3 linked regions of the Neurospora crassa OR74A genome follow. The protein of the gene in region 2 purifies or fractionates together with the protein of the main gene of each other region. This does not show direct contact. Links are inferred from orthologs where the notes say so. Each region holds a gene or a part of one and is shown on either strand. Other genes may lie near its edges.

Region 1 (5,241 bases), on a different chromosome or scaffold from region 2:
CTGGCTCGAGCTCTTCTCATTTGGCTGTACAACAATTCCCTGACAATGTGAAATACTTTCTAGTTGTTTCAACGTTTACCAGTAGTCATGATTCATGTTACAGCTTGTCGGTTTCAGGTAGGTACACAATACCTCTACGGACTTCAAGTGCTCGTCGAGCCTCTGTCTCGATTGAAACCGAGTGCGGTGTGCGCTTCAATGTTATAATACTTTCGCCCATGATTGCCAGAGGACGTTAAACAGGTTCCTTAACCTCAACTGCCGTAACGATATCTGACCGGTTGGAGGAGTGTTTCGAAGAAAGGATCAAAAAGAAGCAACCCTGACGTATCGTATCGCGATGGTGTCGGTGGCAGGGTGTATGATCGGCCCAGACGCGCTCCACACGCCACACTGAAACCGGGAGCCGCAGAGACGGACTCTCGGACTTCACACCTCTAACATGATAGCCTTGTTTCTTCCTCTCTCTTTCTTTATGATCATCAAATTCGCCAGGGGTCTCCCGTTGGTGGAGGCCACCTGGACTCATGCATTTCCGTCGTATGGGTATTATTATACAGAGTTGTCCTTCCCCCGCAAGGCTTCCCAAGCCGCAAGCAGGCAAGTAAGCAAGCATCCCCACAAATCAAGCCATCTTAACCACCTTGTCGTCGTCGAACTCGATATCGATGATGCCGTCCTTCGTTACCGCCTTGACCGTCATGCCCTTGAAGTCTATGGGTAACCTCCTCTTGAGCTCGTCGGTGCACAGGTTGAGAAGCTTGATACCCTGGTGGAGGGTGATGTCTGGGTGGTGGTGCTTGTCGAGAATCGAGAGGCAGTAGTATCTGATGAGGAAAGAACCGGTCAGTGATTCTGTACATGACTCCTACGCATCAAAGACGGTACAGAGATATCGGTCGAGATCACATACTGTGCGTAGCCGTGGGCGGCATAGGGGACCTTCGCCAACGACGCAAGGTAGTCGAGCCAGTAGAGGCTGGGCTTGTGGGTGATAGGGTCGACACCTCCGAGAAGGAGGTTTACGTTGTAGGGTTTGCGGGAGCGCAAGCTCGTCGCAAGCTCGCCGCGGACAAAGTTGGCAAGGGCAGAAGGGGAAAGGTCGGTCCCGTTGCGCATGGAGTAGAGCTGGGCGTTGGCTTGGGTGTACTCGGCGAACTGCACTGTCGATGGGAACAAACAGTTGGTTAACTTGGTTTGGTTCAAAAGCGCCATCATCACGATATCGCTGCCGTACCTGTGTCGCCAGCTTCACCGGAGAATGCCATCAGTGTGTGCTTGTTCAGCGACCTTGTCTTGTCGTCGGATGCCTTCAGGATGGTCGCTCCCCGCATAGCGGCCTTGGACGCCGCAATGATGGTAAAGTCCTTGCCCGTGATGCCTAGTAAAACCTCCCTACATGCTGATCAGCTCTGATATCACCTCTCCAAGACATGACCGATGCGACGTACATTTTGGCTGATTGTTATGTGAGTGAATGGATGATATGCTGTTGTTTTGGTAAGCTTTGGCAAGTTGCGTTGGCTTGCACGGTTCTCGTCGTTACCTACCTATGGCGGGACAGGGCAGTTGGAGCTTGAACTGACGGCGACGGGGAACGCGCACTGGAGCTTCAGCCTGCAAGCTGACAAGACAAGCACGGGCCAGGCTGTTCAGGTGCCCGCTATCGTCTTCCATCTTTCCATTCCAGTCCCCAGAAGGGCTGAAAGCTGCAACCACTGGGCAGGCAAGCAGACAGCGAGAGAGACAGCCCCACTCCGTCATGAAACCTGCCAGGATGGCCCGGGGACGTCTTTTGGAGACAGCAAGAGCCTCCCCACCAGCCGACTACTAACAGCTCGCTAGCTCGGTTCCGCGTGACAGAGCCCCTATATCTGTTAGTGACGCAATAAGGTAGAGTGCACGGCACGGGGATTCCCTTCTCCGACTCGTTCAATTGTGCCAAGCCAGTGGAGGAGATCTTGACGAATCGGCGTGCTACTCCACCGATAGAAAGCCTGCAGGGTGGGCAACTTTTTTTTTTCTTCGAAGTCCATCGGGTCGGGTGTGTCTAGGCGCGAACGGCCATCCCAAAAATTTCAACTTTGATAGCCATGCAGCAGCGTTGAAGTGAAGCCGAACGCGACCCCAATTCACATTCCAGTGTCATTCTCTACCACCAGACGACTCCAGTGCATTTGCACCGACCGCCCCGGGCCGCAATTGCCAACACCATGTCGTCCTTTTTCACAGCACCCGCTGGGGAAAAGAAGAGGAAGCGTGCCTCTGCCAACGAAGCCCCCCAGAAGCGAGTTGCGACTGGCAAATCGACTGCCAAGTCATCGTCGGTCAGAGGCCCTGCCGCCAAATCACGTCCCGCAGCCCCCAAGAAAGCCGTTGAGCGCGACGAGTCGATATCCGGCAGCGACATTGACAGTGACGATGGCGACCACATTGAGAGAGAGGACGGGTCGGAAGGAGAAGAGGAGTCGGACCACGAAGGAGAGACGGCGGCTGAGAAGCGGTTAAGATTGGCACAGCGATATCTGGACAAGGCACGACAAGAGGTGGAACTGGAGGACGAGTATGCCTTTGACGCCGAGCAGATTGACCGTGATTTGCTGGCCGAGCGTCTTCAGGAGGATGTGGCCGAGGCCAAGGGCAAGGTTTACCGCCAGTTGGCTTCCAAGCTCGACTTTGACAAGGCCGCACACACACAGTTTCGATGGAATTCAGGAACGGTAACATCAGTCTCGGTTTGCGCGCCGTACGCTTACACCACCACGAAAGACGGCTACCTTACCAAGTGGAAGCTACAAGACCTACCCAAGAACCAGTGGCCACAGACGACCAAGAAGAAGCCAAAGAAGCCGCCTGCGCCGCCCAAGAAGAAACCCGAGAGAGTGTGCTTCAACAGGGCGAACCCGATCAAGGCAAAGGACAAGACATACCAGGGACACACCAACGCGGCCATCCTGACGGTCAGGGCCTCTGCCGACGGCAAGTTTGTTGTCACCGGCGGCGCCGACAAGCGAATGGTCGTCCATGACGCCGAGACCCTCAAGCCCCTCCGGGCCTTCACCCAGCACCGCGACGCCGTTACCTCGCTCGCCTTCCGCCGCGGCACTAACCAAATATTTTCTGCCTCCAAGGACCGGACAGTAAAAGTCTGGTCGCTCGACGAGCTCGCCTACGTTGAAACACTCTTCGGCCACCAGGATGAGATCCCCGACATCGACGCTCTGGCCGGCGAGCGCTGCGTGTCCGTTGGCGCGCGCGACCGGACCGCCCGCTACTGGAAGGTTCCCGAGGAGTCGCAGCTCGTGTTCCGCGGCGGCGTGTCGGAGAAGAAATCCCATAAGAACCGGGACCAGGCGGTGAACCACGATGGCACCATGGACCAGGTGGCCATGATCGACGACGAGCTCTTTGTGACTGGCGACTCGGCCGGCACGCTCTCGCTGTGGGGCATCAACCGCAAGAAGGCGCTGTTCACGCAGCCGTGTGCGCACGGCATCGACCCGCCGCTCAAGCCGACCGAGGTGTCTGCCGACGCGAATCCGGACGAGAGCGTGGTGCCCACCCCGCAGCCCCGCGCCATCACCGCCCTCCGCACCATCCCGTACTCGGACGTCATTCTCTCGGGCTCCTGGGACGGCTTCGTGCGCGTGTGGCGCCTGAGCGAGGACAAGAAGAAGATTTTGCCTGTTGGCGTGCTCGGTTCCAGCACGGCGCTGCAGCAGCTTGACCAGGCCGAGGCCCAGAAGCAGAAGGAGGAAGCAAAGCAGAAGGCAAAGGCGGAGAAGGAACCTGCAACCGCAAGCAGTGGGGAGGAGCAAGCGGACGACGAGGCCTCGGTGGATGGGTCGCAAGACAAGAAGAAGAAGCAAGAGAGCGGGCTGATTAGGGGTATCATCAATGACATTGCCATCTTCGAGCGCGGCAACCGCGGTCGCGACGGCATCTGCATCGTGGTCGCCACAGGCAAGGAGATGAGGCTGGGAAGGTGGAAGTACATGAAGGAAGGAAGAAACGGCGCTACTATCTTCGAGGTGCCCAAGGTTGCTAGGCGAGCGGGGGCTAAGGGGGAGGAGAGCGATGAGGAGGAAGAAGAGGAGGAATAGAGGAAGAAGATGGGAACCATACGTACGTTTGTTCTGTCTTGTTTTGTCTACCTCGTTTGACGGAGCGGGACATGGGAGAAACGCGGAGAATGAGGAAGAAGAGAGCCAAATAATCATCGCCTGTTGAAATTTGTTACAAAGTGCTCTGGACGTTATATCGCATTCGCGACAGCCAAGCTGTTCATAGACAAAGGAGAAGGAGAAAGTAGAAAGAGCAAGTATTGTACATACCACACTATATCTTTTAGGTAGCCTCACTGCATTTGAAGGGAGTTGAAAAGTTTCTGGTCATGAATCCATTCCACTAGATTTCCGATTAAGTTGTGCCACACAGAGCCATTAAAATACTATGGAATCTCTCACCAATATATCATCAAAGGGATGGTAAACTTCTTGTAATGTGCTCTCCGTGGAAAAAAATATCAACAGAGGATTGGTAGTTTGTTAGATCACGCTGCGCTACTTCTTCCTCCAGCACAAGGTTGAGGCTCCATCATCTAGCTCGAGACTGAGATGGCCACCCGACTCAAAGGTACTCCTCGAGGCCTAGCTGGACGTCAATACCGCCAAATATTCCGCCTGCATGATAAGATGTACAAGACTTGGGGAGTTCGAGAGTTTCAACTCCAAAACAATCAAGCAACGAGCTTCAAAAAAGACAACGCAGCCATGCTATACCAGCCATCGAGGCCTCAAGACCATGCAATGCAAATGGGCAGATGCATGAATGAATATGCTTACACCAACAATAAACATACAACAATGAACCAATTCAACGCTCTAACCAATCCACATACTCCTGGTCTTCACTCAGTTCTCATCAGTCAAGTCAATAGGCGTCATCTCCGCGCTTTGCACCGCAGGGATGTCAGACACGACCATCGCCGGAGGGGGTGAATCGGGGATCTCCTCGGACTTGGTCTCGGCCGTTTCCTTGGGCTTGCTGGGACGTGGCTGTCGCTGATGATGTTGCTGTTGTTGTTCTACACGGCGACTCTTCCCGCTACCAATTCCGCTTCTATCAGTATCGTCCACAACTCTCCTAGGTATTCTGGACTTCTGGCGGGTATGTTTATCGCTTTTTTTGTAGGTAGTTTTGTTTCCGTGGTTGACGTGATTGTTGTCCTTCTGCTCGGCT
Region 2 (5,055 bases):
AGACGGTCTTGATGGAGGCACCCTCGAACTTGGCGATTTCCAGCGCCGAATTGAACATGTCCTTGATGAAGGCCGTGTTCTTGAAGATCTTGTATGGTGTACCGGTCTGGACGAGTTGTTAGCATCAAAAACACCATACACAATAGGGCGGAGGGTAACATACCAGCTTGAGCTTCTTGACGATCTCGGTAGACTCGTCTACGCTCAATACTGTACCGGTAGCCGCAATACGGAACCCGGGGTTGGCGGAAGAGAAGGACTGGAAACATGTGAAACCCGTATTGGGGGCACACAGGGGGCCGTAGAAGGTACCGAAGCAGTGCATGTGCTCCGGAGTATACTTCAGCATCCTGTTTCTCGTCCGAGAATCAGAGATGGAGTAGATGGGAAGAGACTGGAATCGGCGCCAGCCGAGGGAGAAGATGAGGGGATCTCCCGTCTTGAGAATCTTCTTGTGCCAACGGTGCTTCTTGATTCTAACTTGCACAAAGCCGAATCTGTCCTCCGTGGCCGAAAGACCTCCGACAACGATCGGCATCCGTGGCTTAAAGTTCTTGACGAACTCTGCTGGGACACCCTCGATGACCATCCTGGCGTACTTGCCGGCCTTGTAGCCTTCGACAGCGATCCTTTGGCTTTCATCAAGGTTCTCGTATTCCGCCTTGTTGATGTCGAGCTGCTTCTGGATCATGGCCTTTTGAGCATCATACCAGTCGTCCTCTCCAAACTCGTCATCATTGCCACCTTCTCGCCTGGCAATCGCCTTGTCGTTCTTGAAACCTTCACGATCTTCCTCTTCGAAGCGAAGCTTGAGCTCCTCCTTTCGGCGGGCGTTCTTCTCACGCTCGGCTTCAAGGCTTTCTGCTGGCTGCTCCTCTCCTTCCTCCTCTTCTTCTTCTTCATCCTCGTCGTCAGCGCCGTGCTTCTCCCCTGTCTCGAGATCCTCAAAGGCACCGTCACCTTCATCATCGTCGTCCTCGTCATCAAGACCCTCGAAATCCGAACCATCTTCGCCCTCGCCCTCAGCGTCGTCAAGTAGGTTGGCGGTGGCGAACTTGTTTCGGAGAGCCTCGACAGCGTCCTTGTCAGACCACTTGGCTTCTAGTTGTTCGTAGTCGAACTTGGGAATCATGCGATCCTCCCAAGAGTCCTCCTTGTCCTCCTTGCCAGTCCTCCGGAAGAAGGTTTCGTCGTCCTCTTCGATATTCTCTTCGATCTCCTCCTCGTCGTCTTGACCGGCCCATTTCTTGATGGCTTCTGTGGGGGCCATCGACTCGTCGTACATGTACCTCGCCAAGTCGACAGCGCGGAAGGGTTTCCTCCTTCCGTGTATCTGACTTGCGCGCTCCATTATGTTGTCCTTCCACTTGAGCTCAGGATCCTCCTCGTCGTCCTCGTCATCGTCAAAGTCGGATCCTTGGTCTTCATCGCCGGATATCGAACCAAGGTCGGAGTCACTGTCGGCAAAGGCGATGTCCTCTTCTTGGTCGTCGTCGGTCTGTTTCCTGAACATCTTGCCCAGCTTCATCTCGTTGAACTCGGACTCGACATCGGATCCATCCTCCATCTCATCTTCCTCTCCGCTTTCGAAGCCTTCGTCCTCTGGCGGTTCACCACTCTCACCATCGGCAAGTCTGGCGGTTCTTCGGCTCTTGCGGCCAGTGTTTCCGACATCCTCGTCCTCGACAGGGAGCTGGTTGATCTTTTGTCCGCTCGCGAACAGCTTGACACCCTCGTCCGTTTGACCAAGGAGACGCCTCTCGTTCTGCAGGTCGATGATGAGCTGTTCTCCTTCGCCGCGCTCAATGCCCACAGCATCCTTGTCAAATGTGAAGCCGTTCTCCCTAGTGATAACGATGTGATCGCCAGTAATTTTCAAGCCGCTGCGGTCCGCCATGGGCGCCCAGAGCTTTTTGTCCTTCTCGTCGAGTCGCCTTCTGCCAGTCTTGCCACTGGCCTTGGCCAGCGCTTGTTCCATAGCGGGAGTCGGGCAAGGATCCGGCAATTGTTCCATCTCTTTGATTGTAAAGTCGCCCAAACCAGCAATATGTACCCTTTGGCCCTCGGCGGAAAAGTTTGTACCACGGAGGTAACCGGAGAGTTCAATCGTTCGGTCGCATTTCTCGTCTTCTTCAATCTGGGTGGGGTGGGTGACATCGCGGTAGTTGTCGATGATGGTGTAAGGGTGGGAGTTGCGCCAAACGAGCGGGCGGGGGTTCTTCATGACGGACAAGAAGCGGGAGAGGTTGTGGATTTCGCGATCGGGGTAACGGCCGTTCAGGACACCGGAAAGGTAGAAAAGGTGGGCACCCTGGTAGAGTTCGCTCCAAAGTCTGTGCTTTAACCTCTTCTTTGCCTCCTTTAGTGCTTGGGGCTTCCTGAACAGGTCGAGATGGGTGAGGATGCCAAAGACGTTGCCGGGCATACCCGTGGCGGCAAGAACGTTAAGGAACTCCATAGTCTCCATTTCGAAGCCGAAGTTTCCATCGATCATGAGAAGGACAATGTCGGCGACCTTTGCAATATCGACCATGGCCTCGAGTTCGTTGGCGCATTCGATGAAGGTCAATCTCTGCTTCTTGGAGGTGACGACCGTGATAGGTCCCACCGGATCTTGGATGGTTTCCTTTGCATATCGTCGGATGAAAGACTTGAGAAGGGTGGTCTTTCCTACGCCAGGGGGGCCTACGATGGCGACGAGTCTTGGGGGTGGTTCATCGGGGAGACGGTCGACGGCGGGGACATGAAGACGCTTCTCTTTGATCTGCGGAACAAGACCAGTTAATTATAAGAAGTCATTGAAGGATGGAGCGAGGGAATGTCTTCTTACATCGTGGGATCTGGCGGCTTGTCTGGCGAGTTTACCAGGATTGGAGAAGGCAAAGGCCTTGGGGTTCTTTTCTGCAGGGACGGTCAGCTGTGGATAGTAACGATAAAAGAAACAATTGAATACACATACCACCTGTATGCTTGGAGGCCCCCTTCTCCTTGGACTTCTTGGAAGCCCGATGGGGTTTGTGGGCTTGGACGTCGGCCATGATTACGGCTGGTGTCCGTGAACTTTTTGCAAGTTCAGTAGTATAGATGGACACGCGGTCGCGAAAACAGGTGCAAGTGGAAATGCGACGGGACTCGCTCCCAATTCAACTGCTGCCAAAAAGCTGCTGTCCAAATTTTTTGGATAGTCGGTTTTCTGATGGAACGCCAAGACGTTTATCGATAAGCGATAAGATACCTGAATAGTGGGACCTCTTTCCGCGGCAGGCGACGGGACCTATCCCCGGCAGCACCCGCTACTAAGCAGTGGCAGCATGCGGGGAGTTGGAGACCCTGACAGGCAGTCCCGACCTTCAAGTCTTGGAACCTTGAACAACAGACGAACCCAACGTATAGTCCCGTTTCTTATCTTCAACCAACTACTGGGTGAGCTGTGTCTTCGGAGTAACTATTTCCAAAGGTTTATACGAAGATATTCCGTTGGGTGGTTGAGATATCTTGTGCTGTCTTGAGCATGACCAACCTAACTACCTCTATTGTACCAAGCCCTCCCTCACTGGTGGAGACTACATACCACGCTATGTAAATGCATTGGATTGTTCAGGGACCTCCCAACAAACGGTTGAAGAAGAGTCGAGACCATGAAAGAGCTATCATAGTTGATAACTTGCGGCCTCGACATAGGAACGTCGAATGGGCCCGCAAAGTCAAACAGCCATGGGCCATGGCAGCCCTTCTTGCATAACACACCATTTTGAGGGTTACATACGTAATTGTCGCGGGAAGGAGGGTTTCCGATTTACACACATGAGGAGGGTATGGCGTATAGGCTAGGCTCAGAGTTACAACAGATAGGTAACAACATCCAAGATCCTGAGTAGCAAGATGGTCGGAAGATGACTGGATCCATCCTCCCACACCACTCCTAGTGTCTCAGCCCGCGCCTAAGCGCTCGTTAGGTGGTTGTGTGCAAGGCTGTCTTGTTGGGCGCTGAGATGAAGGATTGTCTCTGTCATCCCCACGCCTGGCAGCCAAAAGAGTGTCACAAGTCACAAAACGACCTGCGGTAGGCGCAGCAAGTCTGGTCCAAGTGGATATGACGTATCATCCGCTCCAGAGAATGCTAATGTCCCTGGTGCCGCGTCACTTGTGGCTCCTGACGGCGTGGCAGGAAGACCAATCTAGCATGATTGCCGCTTATCTGGCACATGTGCATCTGTGGTGTAGGTAGTTCGAGTCCACTTGTGCATGTCCCTTGATCACGTATAAGATGCTCCTTCGTCCGCTCCTCGAGACGCAGTACCGACTTTCCAAGTTCACGACCAACCACTACACTCTGTTTCAACATTTCCATACAGCAACACCAACTTTTTCACCAAACAACCCTCCCACCACCGCAAAGATGCCTTCTTACATTGTAAGCATGCCGCACTCGCGCCTCACACTACCCATAAGACTCTTATTGACCTCAGCTGTTCACTATGTCAGGTTACCCTCAAGGACACCGCTACCGATGAGGAGATCGCCAAGACCAAGGAGGACGTCAAGGCGCAGGGCGGCAAGATTGGCCACGAGTACACCCTCATCAAGGCCTTCCAGTATGACAGCCTCCGTCTTCAGAATTAGACACAAGAGCTGACCCTCTCTTTTTAACTGCAGGGCCATCTATCCCGAGGGCGCTGTTTTCACCCTTGAGAACCACGAGCACGTCAAGGGCGTCGAGGCCGACCAGGAGGTCAGGACCCAGTAAAAGAGCGCATCCGATTTCAACAGCATGTTTGAAGCATTAGGCGTCAAGGACAACGACATTGGGAATGATATGACATTAGCCCGGGAAGGACAGGTATAGGATGAGACTACAGTCGCCTGCTCAGAGAGAGAAGCATGATCTGGTGATGGATCTCATGCGGGGCACCAATCGCGGGGTAACAGCGAGACGGAGGTTACCTAGTCTCAGCTACATAGTGTTGACAGCGACAGGGGGCCCGGGGCTTACCTGCCGGTTTCGCTGTCGTTCCAGTGACACTCTCCACTGGAATAGATAAAGGCGGCCATTTG
Region 3 (5,089 bases), on a different chromosome or scaffold from region 2:
TCCTTATGCGTCCCCGTATTCCTAACACAGAACAAAGCACAAAGCGATGGTAACAATTCCTGTAGTAGTTACTGAGCCGCTCCTCTAAGACTGACCAGGCTCTCCCAAAACCCGCCATTCCGTGTCACGGTGAATAATATCGTCCCTGCCAATCGGCCTAGTCCCATCGTTCACCACAATAGCCTCGCGATTCCGATGTCTAATCCGCTGCTCCTCGGCGCTCGTCTCCTGCGCCCGCGGGGTCCTACCCATGTTAATAGAGAGCAGGAGGTTATAGCGCTCGCCGCTTGTGTCCATGAGGTTCAGGTTATCGGCCTGCTCAGCCGCGAAGTCGTCAGCCCCCTCTTGGGACATGAGACCACATCTGACCAGCACCGACCTTCCCGATCCAGTTTTGCGCACCGCATCCGCAAGCCTCTTGATCTTGTTGTCCCTGTACAGCATATAGTTGTGGAAGTTGCGCTGTCTGTCTTCCTCAGTCCTGCCCCAATTTTGCCTGGATAGCCAACGCTCAACGAACTTGGAGCGGATCAGCATCTCTGGCCCGTAATGATCGACCAGCTGCTCAAGAAAGATGAAGCACATTTTTTCGGTGATATCCCTCAATGGATAATCGTCCCATCCATCATTCTCGAGAACCTCCTGCTCCGGGTCGAGGGAGAGCTCGAGGCACCGGACTATGGCGGAGTATGCTTTCCAAGTGTGAAGCATGGGGAGAACTCCTTGAAGCCGTGTTAGTGAGTTGGAAACTTTCAAGCAGTGTTGAGATACTCACGAGGGACGCAGATGACAGCCAGAGCCCTCAAGTTCTTGACACGCTCGTCATAATCTGGACGGGTGATGCCCCAGAGCAACGTCTCCAGGAGGCCGGGGTCATTTGCAGCCCTATCACAGATTATCTTGGCAGCCGTCTCCTTGATGGCGTAGTTGTAGTGGCCCAGCAAGGTGTCCAGCGTCTTGAGCTCGAGCGAGTCCTCGGTCTGCTGCGTGATGTACTGCGTCTTTGGCGGATTGGGGGTGACAATGGTCTCGTCTCGCCATCTTGTTAGCCAGGTGTTCATGGCGAAGATGATCAAGCTCGCCGTGACGAAGCCAATGCCGGTGAAGACGACCCTCTCATCTCGGAGAACCGACGATTGCCAGCCCATAATAACGGTATGGTGATGAAAGATGATGCTTCAGCATAGGTAGTTTGACTTTTATGTGTTGTTTTCTTTTTCTTTTCATCACATCGCGACTTTGAGATTGAGACGGAACACTGAAAAAAACCAAAAATAAAAAAATAAAAAAACCATGAGCAGCCCGAGGATGACGATGGAGAGCTTCACTTCTGGTCAGTGGAGTGACACCCGCTGTAGAGCGGGACAGTCTATCCAGGTCCCAAATTTCCCACCCTAAGCATTTAGTCAAGCATGTATCCCAAGACCTTTGTACTTAACAATACATTCAACTTTTTGGATCCTCCACCAAGAAAATTGGGAATTCTTTTATCTTTGCAAGTCAAATACTGCTGGGAAACTCCTTTTCGCAACTCAGCTGGCCCAAAAGGGGGCTTTTTGGGTGAAATGCTGCATCCTGGGTTGCAGAGCACATTTGGTCGAGTGACATGTCTTGAGAACAAAAGAAGTCTGTGCACTTCCTTAAAAGGGTAAGTTTTTGGGACCTGGATAGCATCGCCCGTAGAGCTTCGTCTTTTAGCAGCTACAGTGCAGCACGGGCAGGCCAGGATGCTTCTGCTGCCCGCGCCTGTGGACAATACTACTTGTATGTAGGTAGGTAACTGCCAAGATTTTAGAGGTGGAGCATGACGATAAGATAAGCACCCTTCATCACCAAAATTTCTGAGAAGGAACCAACCGCCAAAGACAACCTATTGATTGCTGGTCTTGCGATCGAACCCGCTTCGCGACGCCCTCCCTCCCTCTTTCTTTCTCAATACTCCCCTGTCAAGTCGACAGTCGAGACATCTCAACAAACATGGCCGGGTCTCAGCTCAAGAGGCTGAAGGCCTCCCTCAAGGACCAAGGCATCATCGGTCCCCAGAGATCCAAGAAGCAAAAGCGCCAAAACGCCCAGGACGCGAAGGCTTCCACCGACAAGCGACTCCAGCGCCACGAAGCTCTCGCCAGCATCAGAGAGCAGTTCAACCCCTTCCAGTTCAAGACCAACGCCAGAGGACCCAAGTTCGAGGTCACCACCAACAAGCCCCAAAATGATAAACTCGCCAAGGGCATTCAGGGCCGCCCCGGCGTTGCGAAGGCCACCGCTGAGCAGAGGGTTTGTCGATCCCACTCAGATCGATTTACTGGTTCTGATGCTAACTGTGCCATAAACAGCGACGGGAAACTCTACTGGTTGAAATGCAGAGGCGCAACAAGGTCGGCGGCATTGTCGATAGGCGTTTTGGCGAGGACGACCCCAACATGACCCTGGAGGACAAGATGATGGAACGTTTCGCGCGCGAGCAGATGAAGAGCCACAAGAAGAACACCGTCTTCGATTTGGAGGGTTCCGATGACGAGCAAGAACAGGTCACCCTTACACACGCTGGCAAGACTCTCTTTGACGACGACGACATTGAGGCGGGTCGTGACGATTTTGACGAGGACGTTTCCGATATGGAATCCGACGATGAGCGGTCAGCCAGAAAGAAGTTCCTCAAGCGCCTGCGCGCTGAGGAAGAGGCCGCGGAAGGTGAAGGAGAGGATGGACAACCGGAGAGGAAGAAGACGAAGAAGGAAGTTATGGAGGAGGTTATCGCCAAGTCAAAGGCCTTCAAATACGTAAGGGGCACCGCTAAGCCGGCTACTTCCACTCATCAGCTAACAGTAATTGCTACAGGAACGACAAGCAGCCAAGGAGGAGGACGACGATCTAAGAGTGGAACTTGACAAGGAACTCCCAGAATTGCAGTCCCTACTCTTCCAGATGAGACCGAAGGAAACGAAGGACCCCAAGGGCCCCTCCGTTATGGCAGGAATCGACATGGACCAACTTGAGAAGGAATACAACATGCGTCTCAAGCAGGCAGCGCGTGAAGCCAGGGCCGAGGTTACCGACAGGACAAAGACCGACGAGGAGAAGGCGGAGGAAGGAGTTAAGCGTCTCAAAGAGATGGAGGAAAAGCGACTCAGGCGCATGCGGGGTGAGATCGTCTCGGATGACGAGGAGGAGGAGGAGGAGGAGCAGAAGAAGGGCAGGAAGAAGGGAGACGACCAAGAGGTACAAGACGAGGCCGACGAGGACGAATTCGGCCTCGGCAAGGGTATCAAGCTACGAATGACCGCCACCGAGATGGGTCTGGACGACGAAGACGATTTCTTGCTCGAAGACGACCTTATCGCAAGCGGCTCTGAGTTGGATATGGACGAGGACGACATGTCGGACATGGACGGGAGTGATGACGAGGATGCCTATGATCCTGATGAGGACGAGCTTGTGAATGGTGGTGAGGACGGCGAGTCGAAGGAGGTGGCCACAAAACTTCAAGCTCAGTCAAAAGGCGGCGACGAGGACGGCATACCCTATACCTTTACATGTCCCGAGAGTCACGAGCAGCTGCTGGAGATCTTGGGCAGCCTTCCCGTGGCCAAACTTCCAGTGGCTGTCCAGAGGATCAGAGCTCTTTACCACCCCAAGCTGGACGCGAAGAACAAGGAGCGCCTTGGAAACTTCTCCCGGGCCCTCATCGAGCATATCGCTTACCTTGGCGACAACTTCGAGCCCACCTGGTTCCCTACCATTGAGAACTTGATCCGCCACGTCCACTCACTCGCGAAGACCTTCCCGATCGAGATATCCAAGGCTTACAGGTCACGGCTTGAGGAGATTAAGGAGGATCGGCCCCTTGCCCTTAGCGTCGGCGACCTTATGCTTCTGACAGCGATTGGCACAACCTACCCTACTTCTGATCACTTCCATCAGGTGGTCACCCCTGCGATGCTTTCCATCACCCGTTATTTGGGACAGAAAATTCCCCAGACACTCGCCGACTACTCCATTGGTGCTTACCTTTCGATCCTCGCCCTTCAGTACCAATCCTTCTCCAAGCGTTACGTACCAGAATTTGTCAACTTCTGCCTCAACACTCTCTGCTCGCTCGCTGCTGAGAAGCCCAAGGAAAAGCTTGGTCTGTTCCCCGTTCACGAGCCCGCTGCTGGCATCCGTGTCAAGGGTGCAAGCAAGGTGACCGTCAGGAAGCTCAACTGCGGTGACTGCCAGCAGCCCAAGAGCGCTCGCTCCACCAGCGACGACTCCGCTCTGAAGGTTGCCATTATCAGCACCATCACCTCCGTTCTCAGGACTGCTTCCGAAACATGGTGCAAACTCCCCGCATTCTACGAGACCTTCCAGCCCGCCCAGCGCGTGCTCCAACACCTGACAACCAAGTCCAACGCCGCCCAGCTCCCTGCAGCCCTCGTCAAGCAGCTTAAGGACGCAACGACAAGCATCTCCCGCCTCCTCCAGCTCGCCCAGGTTTCCCGCAGGCCACTCGAGCTGCACCACCACAAGCCGCTCGCCATTAAGACGTACGTGCCCAAGTTTGAGGATTCGTTTGACCCCAACAAGCACTACGACCCAGACCGCGAGCGCGCCGAGCTGGCCAAGCTGCGGGCCGAACACAAGAAGGAGCGCAAGGGCGCACTCAGGGAGCTCCGCAAGGACGCGGCCTTCATGCAGCGCGAGAACCTCAAGGTCAAGAAGGCCAAGGACGAGGCGTACGAGAAGAAGTACAAGCGCTTGGTGGCGGAGATCCAGGGATCGGAAGGCCAGGCGGCGAACGAGTACGCAAGGGAGAAGGCGGCGAGGCTCAAGAAGAACAAGAGGTAAATGGCTACTTCTTAGAAGGTTCGGGGGTAGCAGTCGGAGTAAGTTTGTGGTTGGCCGTGTTGTTGTTAGTGCCGTTGTTGTTGCTGTCATGTATACATCATCATCAGCGTTCAGTGCAAGTGCAATATTTGGATCATGGGTTGGAGATACCATGTCTATCATATCATCTACTAGTAGGAGTTTTAAGATCATTTCATCATTTGCCAACCCTCAGTACGTACATTATCTACTCCTGATGTTGTTTACATGTGATGTTTAC

What was found. Proteins that work in one complex are often made in the same cells at the same time.
Region 1: the proteins of NCU04348 (region 2) and NCU01367 purify together in Saccharomyces cerevisiae (affinity purification with mass spectrometry; 4 studies listed by BioGRID). This does not show direct contact. The link is inferred for Neurospora crassa OR74A from reciprocal best matches to the Saccharomyces cerevisiae genes BMS1 and RRP9.
Region 3: the proteins of NCU04348 (region 2) and NCU07393 purify together in Saccharomyces cerevisiae (affinity purification with mass spectrometry; 4 studies listed by BioGRID). This does not show direct contact. The link is inferred for Neurospora crassa OR74A from reciprocal best matches to the Saccharomyces cerevisiae genes BMS1 and NOP14.

What each region holds. Positions count from the first base shown.
Region 1 is NC_026505.1:3,790,705-3,795,945, reverse strand, and holds NCU01367 (rRNA processing protein RRP9), read left to right. Parts: upstream 1-2,026; 5' UTR 2,027-2,213; coding exon 2,214-4,103; 3' UTR 4,104-4,419; downstream 4,420-5,241. Other genes in the region: pcb-4 (proteasome component C11, variant), read right to left, coding at 626-827, 914-1,163, 1,238-1,395, 1,452-1,453; NCU01366 (hypothetical protein), read right to left, coding at 4,914-5,241. UniProt on the Saccharomyces cerevisiae protein: Involved in nucleolar processing of pre-18S ribosomal RNA. Required for efficient pre-rRNA cleavage at sites A0, A1 and A2, and biosynthesis of 18S rRNA.
Region 2 is NC_026504.1:3,692,056-3,697,110, reverse strand, and holds the start of NCU04348 (ribosome biogenesis protein), read right to left. Parts: upstream 3,139-5,055; 5' UTR 3,039-3,138; coding exon 2,960-3,038; intron 2,902-2,959; coding exon 2,831-2,901; intron 2,765-2,830; coding exon 164-2,764; intron 107-163; coding exon 1-106. Other genes in the region: NCU16822 (hypothetical protein), read left to right, coding at 4,268-4,414, 4,486-4,595, 4,657-4,747. UniProt on the Saccharomyces cerevisiae protein: GTPase required for synthesis of 40S ribosomal subunits and for processing the 35S pre-rRNA at sites A0, A1, and A2.
Region 3 is NC_026501.1:6,085,822-6,090,910, forward strand, and holds the start of NCU07393 (rRNA maturation protein), read left to right. Parts: upstream 1-1,874; 5' UTR 1,875-1,977; coding exon 1,978-2,277; intron 2,278-2,336; coding exon 2,337-2,783; intron 2,784-2,841; coding exon 2,842-4,830; 3' UTR 4,831-5,089. Other genes in the region: NCU07394 (hypothetical protein), read right to left, coding at 85-722, 776-1,148. UniProt on the Saccharomyces cerevisiae protein: Involved in nucleolar processing of pre-18S ribosomal RNA. Has a role in the nuclear export of 40S pre-ribosomal subunit to the cytoplasm.